4 linked regions of the Elephas maximus indicus genome follow. The protein of the gene in region 2 purifies or fractionates together with the protein of the main gene of each other region. This does not show direct contact. Links are inferred from orthologs where the notes say so. Each region holds a gene or a part of one and is shown on either strand. Other genes may lie near its edges.

The links.
Region 1: the proteins of gamma-interferon-inducible protein 16-like (region 2) and NOC2L purify together in Homo sapiens (affinity purification with mass spectrometry; 3 studies listed by BioGRID and IntAct, with this or other methods). This does not show direct contact. The link is inferred for Elephas maximus indicus from reciprocal best matches to the Homo sapiens genes IFI16 and NOC2L.
Region 3: the proteins of gamma-interferon-inducible protein 16-like (region 2) and BMS1 purify together in Homo sapiens (affinity purification with mass spectrometry; 3 studies listed by BioGRID and IntAct, with this or other methods). This does not show direct contact. The link is inferred for Elephas maximus indicus from reciprocal best matches to the Homo sapiens genes IFI16 and BMS1.
Region 4: the proteins of gamma-interferon-inducible protein 16-like (region 2) and DCAF13 purify together in Homo sapiens (affinity purification with mass spectrometry; 3 studies listed by BioGRID and IntAct, with this or other methods). This does not show direct contact. The link is inferred for Elephas maximus indicus from reciprocal best matches to the Homo sapiens genes IFI16 and DCAF13.

The regions. Positions count from the first base shown.
Region 1 is NC_064821.1:39,530,279-39,538,047, forward strand, and holds the start of NOC2L (nucleolar complex protein 2 homolog), read right to left. Parts: upstream 3,018-7,769; 5' UTR 2,990-3,017; coding exon 2,964-2,989; intron 2,814-2,963; coding exon 2,661-2,813; intron 1,294-2,660; coding exon 1,119-1,293; intron 1,027-1,118; coding exon 895-1,026; intron 335-894; coding exon 214-334; intron 119-213; coding exon 28-118; intron 1-27. Other genes in the region: KLHL17 (kelch-like protein 17), read left to right, coding at 4,343-4,452, 5,492-5,751, 5,838-5,959, 6,243-6,464, 6,735-6,851, 7,085-7,298.
Region 2 is NC_064821.1:197,360,143-197,367,040, forward strand, and holds the start of gamma-interferon-inducible protein 16-like, read left to right. Parts: upstream 1-3,878; 5' UTR 3,879-4,155; intron 4,156-6,898.
Region 3 is NC_064826.1:133,906,371-133,913,616, forward strand, and holds the start of BMS1 (ribosome biogenesis protein BMS1 homolog), read right to left. Parts: upstream 3,010-7,246; 5' UTR 2,799-3,009; exon of another isoform or gene 2,747-2,798; intron 1-2,746. UniProt on the Homo sapiens protein: GTPase required for the synthesis of 40S ribosomal subunits and for processing of pre-ribosomal RNA (pre-rRNA) at sites A0, A1, and A2.
Region 4 is NC_064833.1:38,648,777-38,656,743, forward strand, and holds the start of DCAF13 (DDB1- and CUL4-associated factor 13), read right to left. Parts: upstream 3,003-7,967; 5' UTR 2,854-3,002; coding exon 2,784-2,853; intron 1-2,783. Other genes in the region: SLC25A32 (mitochondrial folate transporter/carrier), read left to right, coding at 3,383-3,536. UniProt on the Homo sapiens protein: Part of the small subunit (SSU) processome, first precursor of the small eukaryotic ribosomal subunit.

The sequences.
Region 1 (7,769 bases), about 160 Mb from region 2:
GTCCAGAAGGACTGCCAACCTCCTCACCTGGTGCCGTCCTTTCGGGCCTTGCCAAACAGCAGCTTCTGGAGGCAGCCCAGGAGGTCTCTGATGCAAAAGGTCACCACAGCATTGAACACTACAGGACAGGGTGAACACAGAGGCCACTGGGGTCTACTCTTGGGAGAGGATACACATGGAGAGCCTGGGTCCCGGGCCCCTCACCAGGCTCACCTGCGCTGTCCGTGACCTGGAACCTGCCAGCCTCGGCACCCTCCTGGTCTCCTTGGGTGGTGGCCACAGCCGCTCGGAACCCCTGAACAATCTCATGCAACAGCTTCGGCGTGAGGTGCTGCTGGAAAGGCGAAAGAGAGAGAGAACCCAGGGAGGCACGCAAAGTGACAGAACTGCTCTCAGAAAGGCACCGTGGCCCAGCCACAATCTCAGATGCAGGGGCGGGGTGGGGGCCGGGGTTGCTGAGCCACAGTCCAGGACCCTTCAATAGGACAGGGGCCTCGAATGCCGGCTCCTGGACTACAGCAGGCTCCCAGGTGGTAAGGGCGGTTTTCTCTTCCCAACGTCTCCTCACAGAGACCACCATGAACCCCTCATAAGGACCTACACTTCCCAGACCGACAAGGCAGAGAGACCAGGTCCCACCCTCAGTAAACTTTAGGCAGCAGAAACCCGAGAGGAGACAGAAAAGGCAGCCCTGGAGAGGAAGGGACAGGCCAAGTGGGAAAACACAGTCCTGGAGCTGCCTGGCACACAGGAGGAATGCTGGAGCTGCCCCGTGCCTCAGGGAGGAGTCCTCCCAAGACGATGCCTGTGCAGCACTGGGCACCTCTGACGAGGGGAGTCGAGTGCAGACTCCTGCCTCTGGGAAGAGGGCCTAGTCCACACGCCACTTCTCACCTTCGTTGCCTGTTTCCACTGTTCAACCATGGCGAGGGTCACAGGGACCGAATCCTTCCTCTTCCCCTGCAGTCCCCTGGGGACTTTGTCCCCAGCCCCTGCTCCATCCTCCTCTTCCTCCTCACTTGCTTCCTGCACAGACACAGAAGAGCCAAGGTAGGGCAGGGCATAACGACCACAGGTGACTCCCCCCCCGCCCGCCCAGTTCTGCCTGGCCCCCTCACCTCCAGCATGTTGGGCAGGGAGTGCAACTGCTCCTCTTCATCCTCAGAACTGTCCGACTCGCTGAAGTTCAGCAGGCTCTGGTCGTTCTCCTGCAGGAACTTGTAGAACTCCGGGTCCTTGTCCTTCAGCCGAGACAGCTGGTCCTTGTGCTCAGAGGCACAGCCTTTCCGCCGGCTAAGAAGACAGGTCAGCAACCCCAGTGGGTAGGCAGAGCCAGTTGCGGGGCTTCCTGTCCCTACCACACTGCCTGCTTGCTGGTCTCCTGAGAAATTACAGGGGTAGGTCTGTTTGTTCCCTCACAGCAGCTACAGACAACCCGAGAGAAGGGCTACTTCCAGGGATACAAAGCCAGGAAGAGTTCAGCTGACCTGTCTGTCTCCAGAACTCCAGAATCACACATCCAGTGGCCTTTCAACACCTCCGCACGTGCACTCTGACGCCGTATTCAACCCACACGCTCGTGTCCTGAACTCATGGTCTCCCTGAATTCATTCTGCCTGGACTCTACTCTACTTCAACTGTTGTTAACTTTGTCCCTCCAGGTGGTCCGGTGAAAACGCCTGGGCTGTCCTTAAGTCTCTCTCTTGCACCTGCTCTGTCCTCACCCTAACTCAACCACCAGCACTCCTCAGCTACTACAGCAGCCTCCAAGCTGGTTTCCCTGCTTCCACTCCCAGGACAGCACCCAAGGAACCCTGGTGCTACATGTTACGTGATGTTACTTTTCTGCTCAAAACCCCAAAATAACTTCCTATTTTACCGGCAGGCCTGACAATAGCCTAAGATCTGGCCCCTTGTCACTTCTCGGGTCTCATTTCTACTACTCTCCCTCTCACTCCCTCTGCTACATTCACCCCTCGCTGTCCTCAAACATATAAAACACACTCCTATTTCAGGGCCGTTGCTGTTCCCTCCACCTAAAACACTAAGACTCTTTTCCTTCTGCCTACAAAACTTACTCATTCAAGTCTGTGTTTAAACATCACCTTCTAAAATATCATTGTCATTACCTGCTATCGAGTCAGTTCTGACTCACAGCGACCTTCTGTACAACAAAATGGAACACACCCCGGTCCTGTGCCATCTTCACAACCGTTGTTATACTTCGGCCCTTTGTTACAGTCACTGTGTCAATCTATCTTGTCGTCAAATTACCTTTTTCATTTAAAACAACGTGACTCCTCTTCCCAACCTCCCTTTAATTACTCTAAACCCTTCTCTTTATTTCTTTCACTCCAAAACACTTCTTTCTCCTAACACACTATGAATTAGCCCATCTTAAAACTAAAAAAAAAATACCGAAAACCAGAATCTTTGTACAGTACAATAGCGTATATCGTCCACTCAAAATACAACTTAACAAAGTACGCAAAAACAACATATACTAAACAATAACACAAAAAACTAAAAAAATTTAGGATAGGAATCAGAGGCCCCTGGGCCTCAGCCCCGAGGACCCAGCGGAGGTTAGCATCCCAGAGGCGAGGCGGATCTGGGCGAAGAGGTCCCTACGCACGTTCAGTGGGAGGCGCCGCGCTCACCTGGCAGAGGAGCTCCCGCCTGGCCCATGCGGATTCCGGGCAGCTCCGTGCACCGTCCGCGCCTCCGCTCCGGGGGCGCCCTCGGGCTCCGATTCGGAGTCGGAATCAAAGCCCGAGGCTAGGAACTCATCCACCGTCAGCTCCTCCAGGCGCCTGTGGGTCACGACGTCGCAGTCACAGCCGTCCACCATCCCGGCTCGCCCCAGCCCCGTTGCCCCAGGAGCACGGACAGGGGCGAGGAGAACCCCTTTGGATACCCGCAGCCGCCGGTAGCCCGACAGGCCCTCGGCCGCTCAAACTCACCTTTTCCGACTCAGTGCCGCCGCCATGACAGCTAACCCGCAGCGTGTACCCCGCTTCCGGGCCCAGAATGCAATGCGTTGCCGCACTTCCTCCCTCCCACCCCGCCCCCAGACTCCGCCCCGCCCCGCCCCGCCCCGTGATTGACTCTGAGGTTCTCCGACCTTGGCGCCGGCGGGCTAGAGGCAGGCGGGCACATTCGCTTCCCTGATCCAGTCGGTCTCGCGGCAAGGGGCTGGGACTCTCCGGGGTCGCCCGGGGACGCGGTTCAGTCTCCGCACACGCACGCATCCGTTTAGTGCGGGTTGCGGGGCCTCAGACCGCCGGACCGCCTGGGTCGAACCCTAACGTGCCTCTCACAACTCTGTCAGAGGCGGTAACGGTGGTGCCGTCCCCGGGTCGACAGCCCGGGCGCCCACCTTCCCCCCCCAGCCGCCTGCCCAGGGCTCCGGAAGCACCTGCCCCCGAGTGCTGCGCGTCGATGAGTGACACCCGGGGCGGGAGAGGTGCGGCAAAGGCGGTAATATACAAAGAGCTTTCACAAATCAATAATGAAAATCCAGAGATCCCGTACGAAAAACAAGGGAAACAGACGGCGGTGTAGTAAACAGACAGATCACCAAAAAATGCTGCCCTAAAGCCAGGCCACGCCCGTGTGAGGCGCCTGGTGCAGCGGCACAGGAGGCGACCGACGGACTGTGCTATGCAGCGCGGAGGACAGGTCCGTGGGCTGCCCACAGCGCGCGCCCGTCCTCAACCACTTGAGCCCCAGCTGGACGGGGCTGGACGGGAATGGCCGCTTTTTCTTTTCCTTGTCTGCCCCAACAGCAGATGCAAAGGCCCGGAGGACCGAAAGTGGCCCTAGGGAGAGAAGGAGAGACGCGAGCCGCCCGGATGTGCTAGACCCCACGACGGGCTAGCTCACAGGCCCGGGGGTGTGCAGGTCAAGCCCAGGGCAGGTCTCTCCCATACGCCCTCTCCATCCCAGGCTGCCAGCGCCCAGAGCGAGGCCTGGTACTTAGAAGGATTTGGAAAGCCTAGGGGCTAGCAGGAGGGGACGGCCGTGAGCTGGCTCAGGGCCTGTCCAGGGTTGCCTCCGGAGGAGGTCCTGGTCGGTTCAGGTCCTGCCCGGGGACCTCCTGAAGGAGGAGGAGGTGGCAGGCAGGACACCTGCTCCAGGACATCGGGATGACCCGGGTCCCACGTTGCGTCTCCGAAGCGGCCGGGGAGCCGGAAGGCGGGGCGGGCGGCGCCGAGAAACAGAGCGCTGCGGGCGGGCGGCGAAAGCAAGCGGGGAGCTAGCCGCCACCGCCGAGCAGTCCTCCAGCATCCGCGCGTCGGTTGGATCGTCTGCAGGTCCGGCGGGTCCGACGGCCGAGCCCATGCAGCCGCGCAGCGAGCGCCCGGCTGGCAGGACACAGAGTCCAGAGCACGGCAGCCCAGGGCCCGGGCCCGAGGCGCCGCCGCCGCCGCCTCCACCGCAGCCGCCGGCGTGAGTGGTTCGGGAGGCCGGGAGGTGGTCGTGACGGGCCAGGGGCACGGGGGTGGCCGTGAGGGGACACTGAGGGTCTAGGGCACCGGAGTGGCCAAAGGAAGTCTCTAGGGCGGCGGAAGAGGGAGAGGACCAGCGTGGCCGTGAGGGTGCCCAGGCGCGGTCCTCGAGGCCCGGCTGGGGGGGGGGCGGTGCCAGCCAAGGCTCCGACCCGACTTTGGAGGCCCCGCGCCCGCAGACCCGGTTCTGTGGAGGTTCCGCATCTCCCACTGCTCCCACTCCATCCTACCACTGCTCTCTCCGCTCTACCGGATTCTCACACCCGGTATCGGCACACCTGAGCCCCCACCCTTCCATTCATCCGCGAACTGGGCGGGTTTGGACAGGCGTCCTGAGTGGCCATCCCCAGAGGCTCTGTCGCCTCCTGGCTGTCCTTGAACCCCAGCGGCACGGCACACGGAGACTCAGGCAACCCATGCGCAGGATGCGGGTGCAGTGTGGGTGGAAGGGGTCCAGTTCAGGGAGTGGCTGAGGGAACACTGGCCACCTTTACCCTGCATGCATCCCCAGTGCGCTTGGCCGGTGTGGAGGGGGACAGACTCCTATCCTGAGGGAACCGTGGGCTGATGGGGATGGAAAGGGTGGCCAACAGAGAACAAAGAGTCCCAAGGAGCATCAAGGGAGCCTGGTTATTGTAGGGTACTCTGGGCCAAGGAGGCCTGGTGCCCAGATGGGACCTGGTCAGAGGGAGCTGTGTAGCTCAGCTATCAGGGCACCAGGTCCATGAGGGACTTTGGTTTGGCTGTGTGCCAAGAGAAGGTGTGAGGCAGGGTCCTGCTTGGGCTCCAGGGAGGCTCCTGGACACGAAGAGCAGAGCTGGGCAGGTAGGGGCCAGGCCTGACACAGGGCTGGGAGGTGGTGGGAGATGGGGAAGGGAGCAGGGTGGGTTGTGAGGGGCTGACTGAGGCTTGGGCCACTGAGGGCTTTGCCCAGACGTGGCGAGGCCATGGGCAGCTCCCTGACCAGCCACCCCCCACAGCCCTGAGGCAGAGCGAGCACGTCCCCGGCAGCCCTGGCCTGCGGCCCCTATGGAGGGGGCAATGCAGCTGCTGAGCCGCGAGGGCCACAGTGTGGCCCACAACTCCAAGCGGCACTATCATGATGCATTTGTGGCCATGAGCCGCATGAGGCAGCGTGGCCTTCTGTGTGACATTGTCCTGCACGTGGCCACCAAGGAGATCCGAGCGCACAAGGTTGTGCTGGCCTCCTGCAGCCCCTACTTCCATGCCATGTTCACGAGTAAGTGCACAGCCCATAGTTTGGGGGCTGGGGGGCATCCGCAGGTCTCCCAGGGAGAGGACGGGCCTGATCCACTGTCCCCATAGATGAGATGAGCGAGAGCCGTCAGACGCATGTGACGCTGCATGACATCGACCCACAGGCCCTGGACCAGCTGGTGCAGTTTGCGTACACGGCTGAAATCGTGGTGGGCGAGGGCAACGTGCAGGTGACGTCACTAGCCCTTTGTGTTGCTGAGATACCTTGTCCCAATCCCCACGTCCCCCTTGTACCTCTTGTACCCCCCGTGCCTTTCCCCACATCCCCCCGTCTCCCCTCATCCCTGTCCTGTGGCCCTGACCTCCCCCGTCCCATGTCTTGTGGCCCCAGTCCCCGCTTCCATCCCATCCCCTGGCCTGTGGCCCAAGCCCCTCTTCCCACTCTGTCCCCTGTCTCATGGCCCTGGCCTCCCAGTCCTTTCTCTCACCTTCTCCCTGTTCCTGTGCCCACAGACTCTGCTCCCAGCCGCCAGTCTCCTGCAGCTGAACGGCGTCCGAGATGCATGCTGCAAGTTCCTGCTGAGTCAGCTTGACCCATCCAACTGCCTGGGCATCAGGGGCTTTGCCGACACACACTCCTGCAGCGACCTGCTAAAGGCTGCCCACAGGTACGTGCTGCAGCACTTCGTGGACGTGGCCAAGACTGAGGAGTTCATGCTGCTGCCGCTGAAGCAGGTAACACCACCGGCCAGCCCTGACCCCTAGCCTCAGACCCCACCCTAAGCCCAAACCCTCCCCTTTGACTTCCAGCCCTATCCCAACCCCCATCTCTGCCTGCATCCCTAGTCCGTGGGCCCCGGGGAGCTGGACCTGAGGCTCCACGCCCTGCTTGACCCCCCCCCCAGGAACACTGGGCCCCTGGCTGGGCAGATTCTCTGTCCTGGGCACCCTCAGGGCTCCCCACCTCCTCCCCCAACCTGGCCTAGCCTGAGACCCCACCCCCAGGTGCTGGAGCTGGTCTCCAGCGACAGCCTGAACGTGCCCTCCGAGGAGGACGTCTACCGCGCTGTCCTGAGCTGGGTCAAGCACGACGTGGACGCACGGAGGCAGCACGTCCCTCGGGTGAGGCTGGCCCTAGGCTTCTGCCGGCTGGGAAGGGACACAGGTGGCTGAGAGCCAGGTGTGCCCAGTACCCTGTAGATGGGGAGGGTCCCATGATCAGGGCCCCTGATGCCAGCCCCCATGTGTCCGGGTGGTGTCATGGCTGAGGAGGGATGTGGGAGCTCTCAGGAGGACCCAAGCACCGAGATGTGGGTCCCCTGGTCCTGCCTGACCTGGCACCCCCCCCACCCCAGCTGATGAAGTGTGTGCGGCTGCCCTTGCTGAGCCGCGACTTCCTCCTGGGCCATGTGGATGCAGAGGGCCTGGTGCGGCATCACCCGGACTGCAAGGATCTGCTCATTGAGGCCCTCAAGTTCCATCTGCTGCCGGAACAGAGGGGCGTCCTGGGAACCAGCCGCACGCGGCCGCGCCGCTGTGAGGGCGCTGGCCCGGTGCTCTTTGCTGTGGGTACGCCCGTGCCCAACACATCTCCGCTGCATCCACACTACATCCCCACACCTGCAGCATATCCTTCTGTGACCACCATGTCACCACCTACACCTGTCATCTCCCCAAATGTGCCCACAATGTTCCTTCTACGTATTCATCTCATCTTCATCCCTCGTTTACCACATCCCTGCTTACACCCGCCATGTCTCCACCACATCTCCTAATGCATATTTCCTCCTGTGACCACCACATCCCCACTTGTGCTTACTATGTTCCCACCACATCCCTACCATGTTCCCTCATATTTCCTCCATGCCCCCAACCCATATCTGTTTCCTGTGCATGTGCCTACCATGTCCCCACACGTGTTTGTTATCTTTTTGTATATTCTTACCACATTCTCATGCCCGCAGCATCTTCTCTGCCTACAGTGTTCCCTCCACGTTCACTATGTCACTGCCACATCCCCCTACACAGGCCACATCCCTG
Region 2 (6,898 bases):
AGGTATCTAGAAATTTCCCAAATATTTTGAAATGATATAATGCATTTTAAAATAATCCAAAATTTAAAGAATGAATACCAAGTCATATTACAAACAATAAAAACACACAATACAAAACTTACAAAGTATAGCAAAAAGTGAGGCTTAAGGTAAAAAAATACTATTATTTTGAATAAACATATGAAAATATAATTGAAGAATAGCATCAGTGATATAAATTTCCACCTTACAACACTGGAAAAAAATGAGAGCAAAGCAAACAATAAGTAAATATAGAAACAACAAAATTATTAGCAAAAACCAATGCACAGCAAAGCAGACAAAAGGAAAGAATACGAACAGTGAGTAGGTTCTTAAAAAGATTAACAGACCCAGTAAGTCACTGATAAGACTAATCGAGAAAAGTAAAAGGGAAACACCACCAATAACTAGTATCAGAAATGAAAAGGGGATAATTGTACAGATTCTACAGATACTAAATGAATAGTAAAACATCATTAAAAACTTATGACATTTGATAACTTAGAACCAAATGGGCAAATTGCTTGTACAACACAATTTATTAAAACTGTTACAGAAAGAAATACCTTTGTGCATTGCTGGTGGGAATGCTATTTTCTATTTTTCTGATAATAGCCATCCAAGTGAGTACGATTAGAAGGGACCAGTCCCTGGAGGACATCATAATTGGTAGAGGGTCAGTGAAACAGAGGAAAACTCTCAAGGAGATGGCATGACACAGGGGCAGCAACGATGGGCTCAAGCATAGCAATGGTTGTGAGCATGGCACAGGATTGGGCAATGTTTCGTTCTGTTGCACACAGGGTGGCTATGAGTCAGAAGAAACTCCACAAAACCTAACAACAACAGTGGGTGTGAAGTTTTCATTTGCCTGGAAATATTACCAGGCAGGACTACCTGATGCCGTTACCAGATAAAGACACTAGAAGAAAATTAAAAGTCAATGACCCTCATGAGCATAAGTGCAAAAAGATTTGCCAAAATATTAAAACATTAAATACATCAATATGTAAAAAAGGTTAACAAACCAAAACCACCACTACCGTTGAGTCAATTCTGACTCATAGCAACCCTGTAGGACAGAGTAGAACTGCCCTATTGAGTTTCCAAGGCTATGATCTTTACAGAAGCTGACAGACACATCTTTTTACTGCGGAGCAACTGGTAGGTTTGAACTGTCAACCTTTCAGTTAACAGCCGAGCACTTTAACAACTACACTACCAGGGCTCCAACAAAGTTTAATACAGCATAAAAAGTGTATTTTATCACAAGAATACAAGATTAGTTTCAACATTCAAAACTCAATCATCTTACCCATTTCCTCCTGAAAAAGAAACTGAATTTCCTGAGAAGGTAAAAAGAGGCCCATTGTGAAGGTGGCTGATGGCTAGAAATGAGTAAATCAACCCGGCCAGGTCAGGCTCACGCACTAACAGGTTTTGTTCTGGCCCTTAGGAATAAGAAAGCGGAGAAGGGTTTTTAATTTGACTATACCTCAAACGGTTTCCCGTTCCATTTTTTTTCTGAGTCTACAGACCTTACCACTGTATCTTTTAGCCCTGGGCCTAATACGACGTTAAAGGGTTTGATTGCTATTTTTTTTGTGAAATTGTTCTGTTGTTTGCTTTTCTCTTTAATATACTTCTGGCATCTTCTAGACTGATAAGTTAGGACATCAAGCTGATTGAGACTTTTCCTGAGGACTTTCGGTGTCCTAGTGGAATAGTACTTAGGATGGTAACAGGTCACGCAGATATATCCAGACATCTTTTTCCCACATTAGGCATTCTCTCATTTCCTACTTATAAGTAATGAGCTCGTATCATTACAACAATAAAGTCTTGCAAATTATGGAAGAGCCTCTAGAAGGGTTGAGGGCTAAATAAATTCTTTTTATCTGTATGATGGCCCAAATCACCAATTAATTGGTCACTACCTGAAAGTTTTTTACCTGAAAGTCTAGATGACTGCCTCCTTCCCCCTCCCCTGTTTCTCATTTATTTGGTCCATCTACTAAAATTCCAGCTTAGCAGTATACTTTTGGGAGCATTGCTCTGACTTCGCTCCATTTGGACTGATAATTTGTGTTTGTCTGCTGGAGTACCAACACAGGGTAGCACTCTACATAAGTTAGTTTCTAGAAAATAAACAAGAAAATGTTCTGAATCATGGTCATTCCTGCCTTGTTTCATCTACCCCCTAACCTCTGGGTTGAGGCCCTATTGATTTTCCCTAATGTCTCTCTCAACCCTTTACCTTAATACCAGCTCAATGCATTCACACAGGCAGGAAAGTAAGGTCTATAAAAGTGAATCATGAACACCATAGGTGCTCTGGCAGTCACTCAAGATCCTGCTTGCTTCACTATGGCCTACTTCCTCTGGCTTATTCAGATAGTTTCCAAATCCAAACTTCAACTCTGTCCTCCATGATAGTAGTTTAGATTAACCCAATTAGCTTTATTTTTCCCTTCAGACAACCTCAGGCCATCTACCAAATTTAACTGGACTTTGAGAACCTCTTTCCAGTCATGACCTCATCCCTCTTGCAGATCAACTAGAGGGTTAGCACAATACCATCTGTTGATTAGTGCTACATTTTTGACATCTCAGGACTTAAGTTCTCCAGCCAAATAACCCATTATCATTGAGTCAATTTCAACTTATAGTGATCCTATAGAACAGAGTAGAACTTCCCCATAGGGTTTCCAAGGCTGTAATCATTTCATTTCTGAAACTGACTGCCACATCTTTCTCCTGTGGAGTGGAGTGCCTGGTGGGTTCGAACTGTGCTTAACAACTGTGCCACTGGGGCTCCTTAAGTTCTCCAAAGTGACTCCATTATCCTCAACGGAAAAAAAAAAGCATTGCAGAAAAAATGTTAATCGGGTCCTCAACCCTCCCAGAGGCTCAATGCTCTCGCAGAATTTGCAAGGCTTCGATGTGATCCTGTTATTCACTTGTTTTGGGGAAAAATTCAGAAAGGCAAGAGTAATCATGAAGTTGAATCATAGAATAATGGATCCTAGTCAGAGTCAGAAAACCCTGGTGGCATAGAGGCTAAGAGCTACCGCTGCTAACCAAAAGGTCAGCAGTTTGAATCCACCACATGCTCCTTGGAAACCCTATGGGGCAGTTCTACTCTGTCCTATAGGGTTGTTTAGTCATACTCAAGAAGGAGCCCCTGGGCAGTGCAAACAGTAAGGCCTGGTAATCTGCTTCTGAAAAGTCACAACATTGAACCCTGTGGAGCAGCTCTACTCTGCACACATGGGGTTGCCATGAGTTGGAATTGACTTAACAGCAACTACCAGCAAGTCATAATCAATAGGGCCACTAGTGCACAATTCATTTCTAAATACTCTAGGAAGAATTGACATATTCACAATGATTTTATACCCCTGCTAGGCTCCAGGTTTGTCAGCTGCTAATTACTGTGAGAATGTGTCACTTACTATTGAAGCCACAACGAACTTGATAGCTGATCGGCCTCCATTAAGGAGATGCAGTCAAGTACTGGTAGCCACAGATTCCTCTTCTAAGAACTTCTCCTGCCACTACCACTGTGTGAACAGGAAAGGAGGGAGAATTCACTGGCTGCCTCACTTTCTCCTTTTATATTTCAGCCTCCTTCAAGAGACTTTGGTTTCTACTAACCCATATGTAAGCCTGCTAGATAAAAAGTTCAGATAATGGCACCCCTTTCAGCTACTGGTATCTGTTTAAAAAAAAAAAAAAGCATAACTTTGCACTAGTTTTTCATACTGAAACTAAGTTGTTTACAGGAAAGAGACTTCATTTGTCCTGACTGAGGAAATCGAAACTTAAGAACATGTTGGGAGGAGTTTCAAAATTTTTTCATAGATGAATAACTTCTCTCCCCTTGGGAGTTACTGAAGTAGGAGATAGCCAGAACTAGCTATGTTTTTAAGAGACTGTAACTAGTGCTATTTTTCCTCGTTATCTTTCAAAATAGTTCAGTTTCTTCACTTTTTTGTGAGATTATAACATCCTACATTCAGCTTCTGGAGAGCTTTCCTGATTTATTTCCTAGCTTAGAAGACATACAGTAATTCTTGTATTTCTGACAAAGATTTCAGGATCTGGACTACCGTGGAAGAAGTTTCCAGGGAGGTGAGTACTCTGAGGAATTCTGTGAAGATCTGGGGACCTACTTAGTAAACATGTTACCGCAAATCGCGGGTTCAAGCTGCCTGCTGCAAAGCCAATACTGAGACAGGGGAGGTAAGCAGTAAGAGGGCTTTATTGAATATCGGTATTCAAGAGACAGAGGGGGTTAAATATCACCCAAATTCTGCCTAATTCTGAAGAGCTAGTGGGAGAGTTTTACAGGGGAAAGGTCAGGGTTACCTGATGTTTTGATCACGCAGTCCACAGATGGTCTTATACATCACAAAACAACTACAAGAAACTCTTTATTAAACTAAAGATATGCCTGTGAGACATCTGGACTCTAATTAGTATATTTGTAACAGGCTTAAAAAAAAATCACATAAGAATCTCTCGGCTAGTGGAACTCTCCTGCCAAGTCCACTCTGGCTGAGATAGGGAGCAAGAAAGACAGTTGTAGATTAAAAATGTCAGGCATCTTTTCTAGCTGCCATCTTATAGGCTGAAGCCCATTTCTCAAGAGAACAGAGAAGAGAGACCAAGGCCACAGGAGCTAAGAGAGCTCGGCACCCCTTTGGAAGAGACCGGTGCAGATGGTGTAATAAAAAAATGTTTTTAGAAATTACTTAAAGCATCATTATGGTGCTAGTTATATCAAGTTCTGAATCACCCATTGTGAATCGGAGAAAACATGTTATAAGGTATTAGGGTGTTTACTAAGAGTGGAACAGGCTGCTCAGCCATATCTTGAACAGAACCCGTGTCATTTTCTAAAGACTAGAGAGGAATCACAGCTTATGCACCTATACTAAAACAAACAAGAATATGTATTCTCTCTAATATTAAAACACTGGAGAAATACTATTTTCTCTACTTCAAACACACAAAGGGAGATTACTTACAGAGAGTCTTCTAGGGGAAAAAGTACTGATATTAACTATATTCAGAAAAGTAAAAAAAGGCAATAGCTTTATTTTAATCTAGGCAAACAATGGACTTATTTTATTCTACCACAACTGAAGACTGAAGAAAGAGGAATGCATTTTGAGTATAGTAGGTTTAGAATCATTTCCCTGGGTATACATGCACGTGAGTTGATATTTAGAGGAGAGCTAGGTTTTCTTCACTGGAGGGCGAGGAGGAAAATTGGTAGCAGTGTTGGGGGCCAAGGTTAAAGACAAGATAGTGGCATGAGAAAAGTATCATGAAGTAATATTAAATTTAAAGAAATCTGGACATAAAGTTGCATTATATGGCATTATTCCAATTTTATAAAACATGGAAACACACATACATAGTAGAAAAAATTCTGATTTTCCCAAGCATGTCATTAAAATACATGGTGTCTTAATGTTTTCATAAGTATGTTTAACTTTTATTTTAGCTCCATTCTATACCAAGTGTTAGAAGCATTGTTTGTCTTTTTGGGATAGTCCCTGCTTTCTTCAAAGTCACAGATAAACTTTGTTGATGGGAGTTTGTAGGGGAGGAAAAAAAAAATTTTTTTTTTTTTTTTTTAGGTAGGGTAAATTGCATGTATGTCTGAATTCCTATATATAAAATTCCTGTATAGCCTGGGAAAAAATATTTCATTTGTGTTTGAGAGGAATAAGTTTTATAAGTTTTGAAATACTGGTTTCAGAATTCCCCAAATGTTAGAAAGTCTTGTTATTTAAGCTTGCCAATTGTGTTGATCAATATTTTTTTTTCAGTATTTGCTGTTTCTTTACTCTGCTCTGTAATTGAGATAAGCTGAAATTTCAAAATGTGATTACCATTCTGTCAGTTTTTTCTGGTATATTTTCAACTTTCTGTAAATATACATAAATATATGACTATAAATGTAGGAAAAAGAAGAGCTAGAGAAGAGACAAACTTTTTATACTAATATAAAGTAATAATAAAGAGTATACTTTTGTTATTTACAGGAAATGAATATTTAGAACTATTATATTTTACTGGGACTTTGACATTTATCATTTTAGTTGCCAAAGGAGAGAAAACCAAAATTAAAAAAATATTTGAAGAAATAATGGGATAAAGTTTTTGGAATTAAACTAACGTGAACCACCTCAGATAGATCAGGCCAATACAGTGCCAATTAGGAGAGTGGAGAAAAAATCCACAAGACACAATGTAGCCAAACTGAAGACTCTCAGAAAGGAAGCCAATCATCTGAAAGCTTCTAGAGAAAAAGGGCATAACCTTCTACTAGTTTTCTTTGTAGAGCAAAACAAGCTACTCTTATGGCCTAAGGTCTATTTAAAGCTTCTCTGATACAAAGTGCTCTCACTGAATTACTGTTTGCATAATAACACGTTTTCCAACTTTTTTTTTTTAGCTTTTGAATGACCTTTTGTCTACCACATATAAGCTTTTTTTAAAAATCCAATTAGAAAAATTTTGTCTCATAACAGATTTAATCCATTATCTGTTCTGTTGATTGCTGTTTTTTTAAATAGTTTCTGCCATTCTAATTTATTTCAGTTTGTAACACTTACTCTATGCTTCCTTCCCCTTCTTCTTCAGTTTTTGTTTTTTTTTTCCTTTCCTGTCTCTATTTTCTCCATGAGGAAAAAGTAACTTAATAAACACGCTATCCACTTGTTTCCTTCTCTCCACCCAACCATGTTCTTGTTTTGTTTCTCTTTGTTCCGGGTTTGTTGCTTTACAAGGCATTGACAGACTTAAGTTAGTTGTTCACTTTTGCCTACCTTTGACCCTGCAGAATTTCTTAGCTTTATTT
Region 3 (7,246 bases), on a different chromosome or scaffold from region 2:
ACCTTAAACTATTTTTCAAAATTTACTAAAAAAATTAAAAAATGTTAATGACTCTCTAGCATTACAGATCCCTGGGTGGCGCAAATGGTTTGCACTTGACTACTAACCTAAAGTTTAACCACTTGAACCCACCCCAGGCATCACAGAAGAAAGTCCTGGCAATCTGCTTCCTTAAAGATTATAGCCAAGACACGAAGTCAAAAAAACAGAAAATAAATGTTGGAGAGGCTGTGGGGAGACTGGAACTCTTATGCACTGCTGCTGGGAATGCAAAATGGTACAGCCATTTTAGAAAACAGTACAGCGCTTCCTTAAAAAGCTAGAAATAGAAATACCATATGACCCAGCAATCCCACTCCAGGAATATATTCTAGAAAAATAAGAGCCCTCACACAAATAGACATGCACACCCATGTTCACTGCAGCACTGTTCACAACAGCAAAAAGATGGAAACAACCTAGGTATCCATCAAGACATGAATGGACAAACCAACTATGGTACATACACACAATGGAATACTACGCGAGGATGAAGAACAATGATGACTCTGTGAAGCACCTCAAAACACTGATGAATCCGGAGGGTATTACGCTGAGTGAAATAAGTCAATTACAAAAGGACAAATATTGTACGAGACCACTACTATAAAAACTCATGAAAAAGTTTACACACAAAAAGAAACAATCTTTGATGGTTGTGAGGGAGGGGAATGATGCAGAGAGAAAAACACTAAATAGACAATACATAAGTGATAACTTTGGTGAAGGGTAAGACAGTATACAATACTGGGGAAGCCAGCACAACTTGCCCAAGGCAAGGTCATGGAAGCTCCACAGACACATTCAAACTCCTTGAGGGGACAAATTACTGAGCTGAGGGCTGTGGGGACCATGTTCTCTGGGGACATCTAGCTCAGTTGGCATAACGTAGTTTATAAAGAAAACGTTCTACATTCTACTTTGGTGAGTAGCATCTGGGTTCTTAAAAGCTTGTGAGCAGCCATCTAAGATACTTCACTGGTCTCATCCAGTCTGGCGCAAGGGAGAATGAAGAAAACCAAAGACACGAGACAAAGATTAGTCCAAAGGACTAATGGACCACAAGTACCACAGCCTCCACCAGACTGAATCCAGTACAACTAGATAGTGCCTCCTCGCTACCACCACTGACTGCTCTGACAGGGATCACAATAGAGGGTCCCGGACAGAGCTGGAGAAAAATGTAGAACAAAATTCTAACTCACAAAAAAAAAAGAGAGACCAGACTTACTGGCCTGACAGAGACTGAAGAAACCCCAAGAGTATGGCCCCCTACCCTTACAGCTCAGTAATGAAGTCACTCCTGAGGTTCACCCTTCAGCCAAAGATTAAAAACCCACTGCTGTCGGGTTGATTCCAAAGATTAGGCAGGCCCATAAAACAAAACAAGACTAAATGGGCACACCAGCCCAGGCGCAAGGCAAGAAGTCAGGAGGGAACAGAAAAGCTGGTAATGGGGAACCCAAGGTCGAGAAGGAAAGCGTGTTGACATGTTGTGGGGTTGGCAACCAATGTCACAAAAACATTATTGTATTAATTATTTAATGAGAAACTAGTTTGTTCTGTAAAACTTCATCTAAAGTACAATAAAAATAAATATGATTTAGAAAGATTAAAAAAAAAGATCACAGCCAAGAAAACCCTATAGAGCAGTTCTACTTTGTAACACATGGGATCGTCATGAGTCAAAATCGACTCAAAGGTAATGGGTTATGATGTCCTAAGCACTGTACCAGGAGACAGCTACAGATACAGTCTGACCGGTAGAGGAAATACACACTGATCTCATCTGTGCCAATCAGAAACTGCCACTTCAGAAGGCTGCACTGGTTGCAATTAGCACATATAGGTCAGCGGCTTCTCACAGACACACAGACAGTTCTTACGTCCTAAGTAGGAGCCCTGATGGCCCACTGGTTAAGTGATATGGCTGCTAACCAAAAGGTCGGCAGTTCAAATCTACCAGCTGCTCCTTGGAAACCCTATGAGGCAATTCTACCCTGTCCTATAGGATGGCTATGAGTCAGAATCGACTCAAAGACAGCTGGTTTGGTCTTCTGTTTTTTACATCTCTGAGTAGTGCAAAAAGTTAATGTGTTTGGCTGCTAACCGAAAGGTTGGAGGTTCCAGTCCACTGGGGCACCTTGGAACAAAGGTCTGTGGATCTACTTCTGAAAAAATCAGCCACTAAAAACCCTATTGAGCACAGTTCTACTCTGAAACACATGGGGTCGCCGTAAGTAAGGATCCACTCTAGGATAACTAGTTTTTTACATCTTAGGATAACGTCAAGGAACACTGGCCCGGGATGTAGAAAAACTGGGTTCAAAGAACGCTGTTAAACTAGTCACTGGCGACTTTAAGAGATTATTTTCTTCTCTTTTATATTTTGGTTCTCAACTTGTACTGGTGACTTTCTTCGTGGGAAAAGCACAATTTGGAGCCCACCAATCTAGCTCAGGTCTACCGTCACCTGCTCGGAATGCCCCCTCTCCCCCGCCGGGAAGTGACCTCTCCACTTCCCCCTCCCGCCACTTCCCCCTCGCGTCTGGACTCAGCATAAATTCACTCTGCCATTCGCCCAAGACCTCGAAGCACTTCTCCGGCATGAACGAAACGTGCGTCAGTCCGAGCTACGAGGGGATCCTCAAAAGGAAAGACTGTGCGGGAGGACCGAAGGAGGATCTTAACCCGGTGGGCGACTCACCAATCCTCCCAGAGAGCCCCAGGGCCCAGGTTCCGCCAACCGCAGCGTTTACCTGGTTCACAACAGCTAGAGCTCCTCAGGCACGCATGGACACGGACGGAAACGGAAATAAACCCTACGCACTGCCTCTATACCCCGGCGGGAAACAAGGAAGCAGAAGAAGGACTCCGGCGGAGAGACGACTTTCAGGGGAAAGCCAAGAATAAGACCCGCGATTGGTTGAGGGTGGCCGCAAGCGACTTCTCCATGGCATGTTCCACCCGGTGCCCCGCCCGCCCCCCGCTCCGCGCCGCGCCGCGCCGCTCCGCACCGCCCACCTAGCCGCCCGCCCCGCCCCGCCCGCCTTGCCGCCCCGCCCGCCCCGCCTTGCCGCCCCGCCCCGCCCCGCCTCCCAGCGGTGCCGTGCCTAGTCTCTGTTCTCATCAGAGGGGGTCGCTGGGCAGTGGAGGCGGGGCGCCAGCGTCTTTACACTAACTTGGAGCCTACGCCGCGCCCGGCTTATCCCCGCCAAAGGCAATGTCGACAGTGCGGCCGTTCCTTAGTGCGGTACAGAAAACCGAAATGAACACGTTTAGCCTTTGTCACCCCAGACCTACCATGTCCCGCACTCGCATAATGGGATATCCCAAGATTGAGTGTCAGAAAACAAGGGCTCTAGTCTTCGATTAGAAACCCTGATGGCACAGTGGTTAAGTGCTACGCTGCTGACCAAAATGTTGGCAACTCGATGGGGCAGTTCTTCTCTGACTTACAGGGTCGCTATGAGTTGGAATCCGCTCCACGGCAATGGGTTTAGTCTTGGATTCCGCAGCATCAGCTCTGGGGCCAACAGCAGGCCCACTCTTGTTCCTCCACTTGCTCACCTTGTATTACTTAGATGGGAAAATCCCCAATACGTTCTTTGAGACATAGCAACACAGATTATGCCTCTCATGTACACGAAGTTAAGGCCGAGCCTTAAACAGCTTTGCCTTAGAATCTTGTTTCCTTTGCTTGGCGTCCCCCTCACCCCGCCCCGCCACACATTAGAATCCCTTCTTGGCCTAGTGGTGCATGAAGTAAGCCCCACTGCGCCCGCGTAGTATGATTAAGAATGTTTCTGATGTAACTTGTATGAAGTCCCTACTTGTAAACCCCTTAAAACTAACGTTTCCCCTTGCCCTTCTGAAGCAGTCTTGGCAGCAACAGCTCTGACTGACTCCTGTCTTTGCCCAACGAAATTAAGGTGCCAGGAAACCCTGGTGGCTAGTGGTTAAGAGCTACAGCTGCTAACCAAAGGGTTGGTAGTTCAAATCCACCAGGCGCTCCTTGAAAACTCTATGAGGCAGTTCTACTCTGTCCTATGGTGTCCCTGGGAGTGGCAATCGACTTGACAGGAAACAGGTTTTTTCTGCCTTCCCTTCTCGCTTTCTCACTTAGTGGCCAGTTCCAGTCACACCAAGCAGAACCTGGGGTTTCCACCTGGTAACAAAGTCAAGAAAGTTACCCTCGTTTTCAAAATACATTATAGCAAGGACAGGGAAGTTCACAGTAAGTTCTTTGAGAAAACAGATTTTCCATTCAAGTGCATGACTTCAAGGGCATTATCCTCATTTACAACATGCATTGTGTGTGACAGGGACATGAAATTTCCCCATATATTCTTTGATTAGAAAGCACTACACAGATTCTCCCATTCATTTCCGGGTTTTCAAAGCAAATCTTTTATTACAAGGGTGAAAAAGTTTCCAGCACATTCTTTGACTGAATAAACACTACATGCGTTTGCTCATGAAATATGAACTCCAGAGAATTACCCTGTTCTCTGAAGTGCATTATGTGTAAAAAGGACAGGCACGTTCACAACACATTCTTTGAGAAAACTTTGCACAGATTTTCCATTCGAGTACCTGAAGTCATGAGGATTATCCTGGTTTTCAAAGTACACCCTGTGTAACTAAAACATGCACTTACACAGTGTATCCTTGTTACAACACTCAAAGTTTCTTCACTGAAGCACATGAATTCAACAGAGTTATCTCGGTTTTCAAAGCACATCGTGTATGACGCAGAAAACCTTTGCTGTTGAGTGCTTCTGACTCATAGCAACCCTATAAGACAGAGCAGAACTGTCCCCTAGGATTTCCAAGGAACGGCTGGTGGATTGGACATGTGGACCTTCTGGTTAGCAGACAAATACTAAACCACTGTGCCACCAGAGACCGTCTTGCATAACAAGGACATTAAATTTCTCCATACATTCTTTGAATAAGAAAACATACATGGATTATTCCATTCAAATAAATGAAGCCAATACAGGTTTTCAAAGTACATTTTGTTTTGCAAGGATGTGAAAGCTCCCAACTCATTTTTTGACTGACACACTACTACACATATTCTCCCATGCAAGTACATGAAGTCAAGAGAGTTATCTTACTTTGCAAATTACACCTTGCCTTAATTTTTTAAACAAGCAAAGTTCCTAATACATTCATTGACTGAAAAAACACTGTACAGTTTTACCAATTCAAATATATGTAATGAAGAAAGTTGCCTAGCCCTAGAACAAATCCTAACCTTAACTTTAACGGTAACCCTAACCCTAATACTATCTCTACCACAAGCATTAATCGGACCCCTATAGCTTTTTTTTTTTATATAGCTAACCAAAGAACTAACACTAACCCTAAACCTAGCTCTAGGCATAGCCCTAATCTTACCCCTAAACCTATCCCTAACCTAATCCTAAACCTAAGTGTAAAACAAACCCTAACCATATACTTGATCCTAGCCCTAGCCCTAAAATTTACCTTAAACACAGAATTTGCCCTAACCCCAATTCAATTCCTAAACCTAAACCATACCCAAACTCTAGTCCTAACCCAAACCCTAACTCTAACCCAAACCCTAATCCTAACCTTAACCCTAACCTTAACCCTAGCCCTAGCCCTAGCCATGGCCCATAAACCAGACCTTAACTGTAACCATAACACTAGCCCTAGCACTAGACCTATTACTACCCCTAAATCTAAAATTAGATGTAACCCTAACCCTAGCCATAGCAGTAGCCTTAATACTACCAATAAAACTGAGCTTAATCCTAATTCTAAATAATCCTAAACCTAGCCCTAGCCCTAACCCTGACATTAACTCCAGCTGTGGCCCTTGTCTGAACACTAACACTAACTAAAGATAACCCTACTCAGAACTCTAACCAAAACTCAACCCTAACTGTAGCCCTAGCCCTAAATCTACCAGTAAACCTGTAACAAACCCTAACACTAACCATAACCCTAATACTAACCCTAGATCAAGCCCTAGCTCTAGTCCTAGCCAAACCCTGAACATGAATATTCATCCAGACCTCCAACCCTAACTCTAATTATACCCATAAACCTAACCTGTGCCCTAAACCTAGCTCTAATCCTAACTCTATCCCTAAAACTAACACTAATTCTAAACTTAACACTAACCCTTAGTCTAAGCCCCAGACCTAGTCTTGGCCCAATTCCTAACCCTAACCCTACCCTCACAGTAGCCCAAGTCCTAGCCCTAATTCTAACCCTAAACCTAACCCTAGACCTAATCCTAACCCTAAACCAGTCCTAGCCCTAATGCTAACCCAAAGTTTAACTTTACACTAGCCCGGGCGGTAGCCCTAATTCTACTTCTAAACCTAACCTTAGTTCTAACTCTAAGTCTAGCCATAGATATAACTCAAACTCTAGCCCTAGCAGTAGTCCTATTGCTCCCTTAAATATTACTTTAACTCTAGCCATAAACTTAACACTACCCTAGTCCTAACCATAACCCTAACCTAACCCTAGTCCTAAACCCTAAACCTGCCCCTAATGAAAATCCCGACCCCTAAAATAAAACTTGATTCTACCCATAAACCTAACCCACATCCAAACTGTAGCCCGGGTCCAAATCTTAACTCTAACCCTAACACTAAACCTAATTCTAAACCCTAACTCTAACACTGAACTTAACTTTAGTCATAGCATGAACCTTATCCCTAACTTTAACCATAACCCAAACCTTAACACCTAACACTAACACAAACCCTAACCATAACCCTAATCCTAACCCTAGCTCTAGCTCTAAATATATCACTAAACCTAACTTTAAACCTAACCGTAAACCTAACACTAACCCTAGTCCTAGCCCAAACCTTAGAACCGATAAGTTAAATTTAAACTTACAGCATTTTTATTGTGTACAATATAATGTCCTCTGTGCCTGTTTGGCACCTTATAATAGAGGCAGATTGCCCCCAATACCTCTGGTTCTTATTATCAAACTTAAGTTTACTTGTATACAAAATAGCCACAAGAAGTAGGATTCTGTAAGGAATCCTCTTTAGCTGTGGCCTGGCTCTCTCTCTCTCTCTCTATGGTGCTTTATTTAACAGAATACCTGTGGACAAAATAAAGCACACTCAAAGTAAAAATAATTATTTTGTTTTTAGTGACACGACTGGCTACTATTCTGTGCACTTAATTAAACTGATTGTGATGA
Region 4 (7,967 bases), on a different chromosome or scaffold from region 2:
TGAGGAACTTCTGCGTGAAAAAAGATTTCCATGGTCCTTTCTATCACTTGGAAACCCTGGTGGTGTGGTGGTTAAGTGCTACGGCTACTAACCAAAGCATCAGCAGTTCGAATCCGCCAGGCGCTCCTTGGAAACTCTATGGGGCAGTTCTGCTCTGTCGGAATCGACTCGACGGCACTGGGTTTGGTTCTATCGCTTTACAAATTACTGACAAAGGTTCTGTTACTTTAAGATAAAGCAAATCCCTGATAACGTAGTATGTTACAATATCCTAAAGATATAAGCCTTTGTCAACCTTTCCACTCTGCTTGGGATACCATTAGTACCATATATAATATGTGACTATTTAACCCAGAGGCACCTCAGAAGACAGACCTGGCAATCTGCTTCTGAAAGTCACGGCCTTGAAAAACCTATGAAGCAATTACACTCTGCACACGTGGGTTTGCCGTGAGTTGGAATCTACTTGACTGAAACTAATAACATTTACCACATGGCCCAAATGAGGATGTCAGTGCCAATCCAAATATCATACAAATTTCTTTTTTAAGATGAAGAATATGAACTGAAGTACTAATTATTCCCCCCCCCCCACACACCTCAATGAATAGCCTGCCTGCTATCGTTTGACCTATGCAATGAGTTTCAAGCTCCTTCTAGTCTTCTACAATCTGGGCTCAATCTACCTCTTCAGCCTGTCACTCACTCATTTATGCCTTCATTCAGACATTCATAAGGCAACTATTATGTGCCAAGTGCACATAAAACAACTATTATGTGCCAAATGTACATTTTTAAACACAGTGGTAGAAATAGGCATGATTCTTCTTCTCTCTGCAAGCACAGTCTAATGGGAGAGACTGATAATCAAAATAATTATCAGACAATGTGATAAATACTGATAGAAGTAGAGGCTGTCCCCGGGTTACAAATGAGATCCATTCCTAAGTCTGCCTTTAAGTTGAATTTGTAAGTAAGTCAGAACAAGTACAGACGATTTTTATTTAATGTCAGTTAGTGAAACGTTCGTCTTACTATACAGTATATGTTTTACCTTTTTATGCATATAAAGCACTGAAGAAACACTTCCAAACCATGCAATGTTTTCCTGAGTGCCACAAAGCAGTGCATGCATTTGTTATCACAAACCACTGCACTTAACTCAAATTTTTAATACAATAGGCTTTATGGCAGTCCATTCTTAAGTATGAATTGTCTGTAAGTCGGACGTTCCTAACCAGGAGACTGCCCATATACATATGTGAAGGGATGGCAGAAGAGGAGTGTAACAAGTGGCAGGAGATAAACATAGAAAGATTGTTTAGAGAAAGCTTCTCAGAGGAAGGGGCTGAGGTAAATAAGGGTGAGTGCCAGAAGTCTGAAAGAGAACACCAGGAAAGCATTCGGATAGACAGGAATTAAAGTCAGCTGTTGTTAGCTGCCATCCAGTCAATTCTGACTCATGGCAACCTCACGTGTGAGAGGAGAACTGCACTCCAGAGTTTTCAAGGCTGTGACTTTAGGGAAGCACAGTGACAGGCCTATCTTCCAAGACACCTTTGTGTGGGTTCAAGCCTCCAACCTTTCAATTACTAGTAGCCCAGGCTTAATCATTTGTGCCACCCAGGAATTCCAAAAGAAAGCTACTTGTGGAAAAGTAGTGACTGGTGAAACTGAAGAAGATGGGACCAGCAGTTCAAGGAGGGATGCTGCCAAGCCCTTAGAGAATTTTAAGCAGGAAGGTGACAGCCTAATTTTCATTTTAGAAACATTACTGTCTGATTACTTAATCTGTCAACATCTTGTGCGCAGAGGCTACATTTATATAGCAATGCTCATATATGTTGCTAATCTCTACTACTCAATCAAAATATTGACATATTGTTCCAGCCTCATGTTCTATCACTTATCCCTGATTAAACTCCGATCACATTGCCCTTAAGGCCTCTGCACTTGTTATTCCCTTCACTTGGAATTTTCTATTCATACATAGTTTGTTCCTTGGCATTTGGGTCTCACAAGCATGTTAATGGGAAACAGGACAGAATGGAAAAATAAAATTAATGTCATTTTGACCATTCCCTCATTACACTTCTTCAAAACAGTTGCTACTAAGAGAAAACCGGTGGCTTTAGGTTTCATCTTTGTCTCTTTCCACATCCACTCAAAACCAAAACCAAACCCAGGGCCGTCAAGTCGATTCCGACTCATAGCGATCCTATAGGACAGAGGAGAACTGCCTCATAGAGTTTCCAAGGAGCGCCTGGCGGATTCGAACTGCCGACCCTTTGGTTAGCAGCCATAGCATTTAACCACTACACCGCCAGGGTTTACATTCCAGTCATAGCATTTAACCCCTACACCGCCAGGGTTTACATTCCACATCCAGTAATAACTAATTTTAAGTAATAAAGCGGCCAGAAATCAGAGCAGTAGGGAGGTTTAGTGAAGCCTGTTTAACGCTTAAACCCTTCAATCCACGAGTGTGGCTCATTCAAGTTCCGCTTCTCAACAGAAATAAGAGCCCGAGAACAATTAGAGACCAACAGCTGGAAGAGTCCCCCCATATATACGTAAAAGCGTTCCACAGTTAACTCTTTCCCAGTTACCACTACAGAAAATTCTAAAAAAGGGCTTGAGGGGAAGTTATCTGCTAGTCAGTCCCACAGATGAACAAAGAAATGAGAATGGAGCACCAGCCTCCCCCCTGGCTTTACCCTGAGAAAACAGAGGCTACACCCCGGGGACTGGCGGTAAGCTTTCTCTCTACCAACTGGACTCACCTCTCTGTATGTCCAACTTAGTTTCGCGGACATAGTTGTCCGGGTTCCGGCTAAGCATCTTCACCTTCATATTGACGGCTCGTTCTCCCCAAATCCACGAGCCTTCGCCTCCCGGTTCCTGTTACCACCGCCTCCTCCGGCACATTCGACTTCCGCTTCTCCAAAACTACTTCCTGTCACATGACTTCAAGGAGCCTAAGCGCGCGGCTCAGCTGGGTCCTGAGGCGCTCCGTAGTTTCGCGGGCAAAGGTTAGCAGTGGGCGGTCCTTCAGCTGTTTGCTCTCACCCACGATCTTTACCCGGGGCTTGCAGCCTCCGGCGGTGAGGTGGGACGGGGTCTAGGCGGAGGCAGGCGTCCCGCCTCCCTTGCGTTCTCCGCCAGCGTCACGTGCAGCTGCGTCTCCTAATGCCCCATCTGCATCCGGGTCTCGGGGCTTTACTCTCGCGTCCCGGCGTCGGAGACCACGTGCCAGTCACGGAACTGGGCTCGCACCCCTCGGTTTCTGCTCCTGGCAGCTACCGTCGCCACGGTGGCAGCCACTGCGTATCGTCCCACGTCCGCGGCCCCGGGCGCCCTGGTGTCAGCGGGTCCAGAGCCTATGACGGGCCAGGGCCAGTCGGCGACTGGGTCCTCGGCGTGGAGCACGATATTCCGCCATGTCCGATACGAGAACCTGGTGGCGGGCGTGAGCGGTGGGGTGCTGTCCAATCTCGCGCTGCATCCCCTAGACCTCGTGAAAATACGTTTCGCAGGTAAGAACCTGCTTAGACCCCGGGCTCCTTCCCCTCGCTGTCATCCCCCATTCCTGGATTGCCCCCGACTCTTAGCTCCAGCGATTCATTTCTTCTCATCTTTCGGACTCGGAGTCCCTGACTGCGTTGTCCTTGCTGGACGGCGGACAAGGCGGGGATTGGGGAAGTGGGAGAGGTCTCTGACTGCACCATCATCTGAACCAATTGGTAAACACTCAAAAGAATGCCTTGGTCTGTTCTGCATTTTCCGTACTGTGAGGAGGAGAGCGTTGGAGAAGATGCTTTTGCTCTCTCTCACCTAGAACTAGATTTGAGGAGGAGGTAAAGGTGTGTGGCTGCTGTCTCTTCCACCACCACCCCCCCCCAAGATATGAAGTGTGAGTAGAAAACTCTGAGAAGAATCCTCATTGTGTAGAATGTGAGACTCAAAGCTTGATGTAAAGAAAGGATTGTCACATTTAAGGGCTTAGCCACCACCCCACACCGTGGAGGTACTTTGAAACACGTGTTCGGCAGCTCTGCTGAAAGGAAAATGCAGACACTTAGGGGTGGAGCATAACTCTCAGCGGGTTGTTGGGAGTAGGTTTAGGATGGAATTTTCTTGAAGGTTGATTGGTTTTTTTTTAGCGTTTATAATATGGTACAAGTTGCTGTGATGGAATTGGTAGCCGGGATCCAAATACTGTGGGTTTCCTTTTTTTTTTTTTAACTTATTGAGTTAATTGAGGTAAGTATATTGAAGTTAACAGCATTTTAGAAGTTAAAAAAACCCAACCATAAATTCTGGAAAAGATAGTTTCATGGATGATCTTTATAACTTTGTTTGGAAACTAATTTCTAGTATTCTTAATACAAATTAAGTTCTGCCTTGAGAATTAGACCTGCAGCAGTGGTTCATCATGAAGAGTTACATAATTCAATTTACCGGATAAGTACTGTTAGTATTTGTGGACTGCTGTATGGGACACACAAATACCTAATGAAGTTCTTGCTCTTAAGGAGCTTATAGTCTAATCGCAGGCTTGAAAGTTGGTCACATAAAACAGATAATGCTAGGTAAAATGAAATCAAGGGCAGAGTGGAATAAATCCAAATATCAAAATACTAGGATAGTAGACTATCAAGAAAATTATAGATTGTTGATGGTCATATTTATCTGTAAGCATTCTATAGAAGATTAGATCTTGAAGTTCCCCCATTAAAAGGACTAGCATTTTGGTAGCTGGAGAGGAGGCAAGAAGCTTTCTATAAAGGAAAATCAGCTAAAATTAGTGTCTTCCTAGAAAAAATCCTCCCCAAAGTCATATACTTCCATGGAGTTTATAGTGCATGCCCAGATAATAATTATGATGAGTAACATTCTGGTGGCGCAGTGGTTAAGCACTAGGCTGCTAACCAAAAGTTCAGCAGTTCAAACCTACCATCTGCTTCACAGGAGAAAAATGTGGCAGTAGGCTTCCATAAAGATTTACAGGCCTCGGAAACCCTATGGGGCAGTTCTGCTCCATCCTACAGGGTTGCTATGAGTTGGAATTGGCAGTGGTTTTGGGAACATTCGTTGAACGTTATTAGGAGCTAGAGAACGAACTAAGAGCTTTACCTGTATTATCTCATTTACTGCTCTCAATAATCTTGTGAATTCATTATCCCCATTGTACAGATGAGGATAACAGAAGTTAGCTAACTTACCTGAGTCACAAGTTTGTAAAAGATGAATCTGAGATTTTAACCCAGGAGACAATCTAACTGTAGAATTCTCTGGCACTTAATCACTGACCATACTACCTCTAGGAACCCCTGGTATACCACTGAACATGAAGAAAAGAATTTTAGACTTGGCTGCAGGTGCAGGCATGTATGAGTACGTGTCTCTCTCCAGCAGTGTTTTATATCCTAGGAGCAGAGGAGGTGACAGTTGAGATGATCATTGAGGAATAGGATGGTTAACCCTGTGAGTTTAAGGTAGTGCTAAGAAGCAGACCATACCTGAAGAAAGAATTCTTGGTGCCTGAGAAGACTGGTAATCTTGATGAAATGGGGAGAGCATTAGGAAATGAGTAGGGCTTAGGTGACAGGTAAGAGATTGAGACTGAACGAGAGGACTAAATTAAAGAATCGAAGCAGAGCTTTGTAGTAGGAGTCAAAGCAGAGCTTTGTAGTAATAAAGCCCACAGTGTGACTATGAATGGTGATAGAAAAAAGGAAAATACAGGAAGATGAGTAACTGAGATCAAAATAGTTGATTGGTTATCAGCATCAATATTGAAATGACCTACTGTAGTTTTTATGCTTTCATATAATTAAGCCCTTTTGATAAAATTGTAATACCTAGTGACCGGAGTTGTTAGTCCTGAATGTACCACTAAGCTAAACCTGGAGTTTTTCATTGAGTTCAGGTGCAAATTGGAACTCATTCAGAAGAAGGCATCCATGGCATTAGAAAGATTAGAGCTCATTTCATGGGAGAAAATGATCGGAGACACTAGTTTAACTTAAAGGGGAAAAACAAAAACCTTAAGATATTCAGAGAACTGCCATGTGGGACAGGGAGCTGCCTCATTGTGAGTGGATCCAAAAGGCAGTCTTAGGTTAGGTGGAAATTCCAGGGAAGCAGATTTTGGCCTGGCAAAGTTGTGGTGCTCAGAACTGAAACAGCTGCTTTGTGATGACAGGAAGTGCTTCAGACAGAGACTGGGTGACAGAAGTTAGAAGATACCCTTCTGTTGGGTGGGAAAGTTGAATTAGATGACTGCCGAGACCCTTTCTGACTTTAAAATGTAATTTTAAATCATCAGGAGTGATGAGAGAGCCCAAAAAAGGGGGAATAAAAATGATTATTTGCTAAAATAACCCAAAAGCTTAATATTCTGCTTGTTAAAGATGTGTATGACTTTTGATGAACAGTGGACAGAGAAACAAGTGTATACCTACCTGCTTTTACTGTGAGATATTAATCCCCGTTTTATAAATGAGGATGCTGAAGCTCAGAAGGGTTTAGACCATATAGCTAATTAGCGAAGTTAGATATCAAACCCTAGTGTACTTTAATCTCATTTGATGGTATAACACTGTCAGGTCAATGATTAAAGAAATTGACTTCTTCCCCTTTGCCAGTCAGTGGTTTTTCTCTCCCATGCTCCATTATATGCAGTAAAGTATTGGCAGTGAAAGTAAGGACAGTGAACTGATGTCTTAGTCATCTAGTGCTGCCATAACAGAAATACTACAAGTGGATGGCTTTAACAAACAAATTTATTTTCTCACAGTAAAGTAGGCTGAAAGTCCAAATTCAAGGCCTGAGCTCCAGGGGAGGCTTTCTCTCCCTGTTGCTCTGGAAGAATGCCCTTGTCCTCAATCTGCCCCTGGTCGAGGAGCTTCTCAGGCACAGGGACCCCAGGTCCAAAGGACGCGCTTTGCTCCTGGTGCTGCCTTCTTGGTTGTATGAGGTCCCCAACTCTCTGCTTGCTTCCCTTTTTATCTCTTGAGAGATAAAAGGTGATGCAGGCCACACCCCAGGGAAACTCCCTTTACATTGGATCAGGGGTGTGAGCTGGGTAAGGATGGTGTTAAAATCCCACCCTAGTCCTTTTTAACATAAAATTATAATCACAAAATGGAGGACAACCACAGAATGCTGGGAATCATGGCCTAAGCAAGTTGATACACACATTTTTGGGGGGACATAATTCAGTCCCTGACAACTGAGTATGCTTACATGTGGCTAATGGGACTGTATCTGGAGCTCAGTTTCAGTATGCATTTGTAACCTTAAATTTATACCCTTATTAATTCCCCTGCTAATAGCTAATTCAAGGACATAACAAGAATTATTATTAATAAGAATCTTATTAATAAGGATTAATAAGAATAGTTGTACAGAACATATTTTGAGTCTGTTTAATTATGAGGTGAATGCTCACAATATATTCTTATGGAAAAAAAGGAGTATACAAAATTATGTGTAGCAAAGTACCAATTTTTAAAAATATAACCTAGACTATACATTGGCATCTTTTTTAATTCCATGGTCCCTGTAAGAAACAGAAAGCACATTCAAAATAGGATAGTTATGGGGCATGAGAAAGGAGCCCTGGTGGTTCAGTGTTTAAGCGCTGGCTGCTAACCAAACAGTCAGCAGTTTGAATCCGTCAGCCATTCCACAGGAGAAAGAGGCGGCAGTCTCCTTTCATAAAGACTACAGCTTTGGACACCCTGTGCTGTGTCCTGTAGGGTCACTATGAGTCAGAATCAACAAGAGGTGTATGGGGCGGGCATGATGGTGGTTAATAAAACGAATATTTACAAAGGCATGAGCAAGTTGTAGGAAAACCCCAAGGAATAATGTAGTATCCTGGCACTATGGATTAGAAATATTGCAATGAAGGAGTGTTAGTCTCTGTCCTCACAGCAGAGCAGCCCCCTACGGGGAAG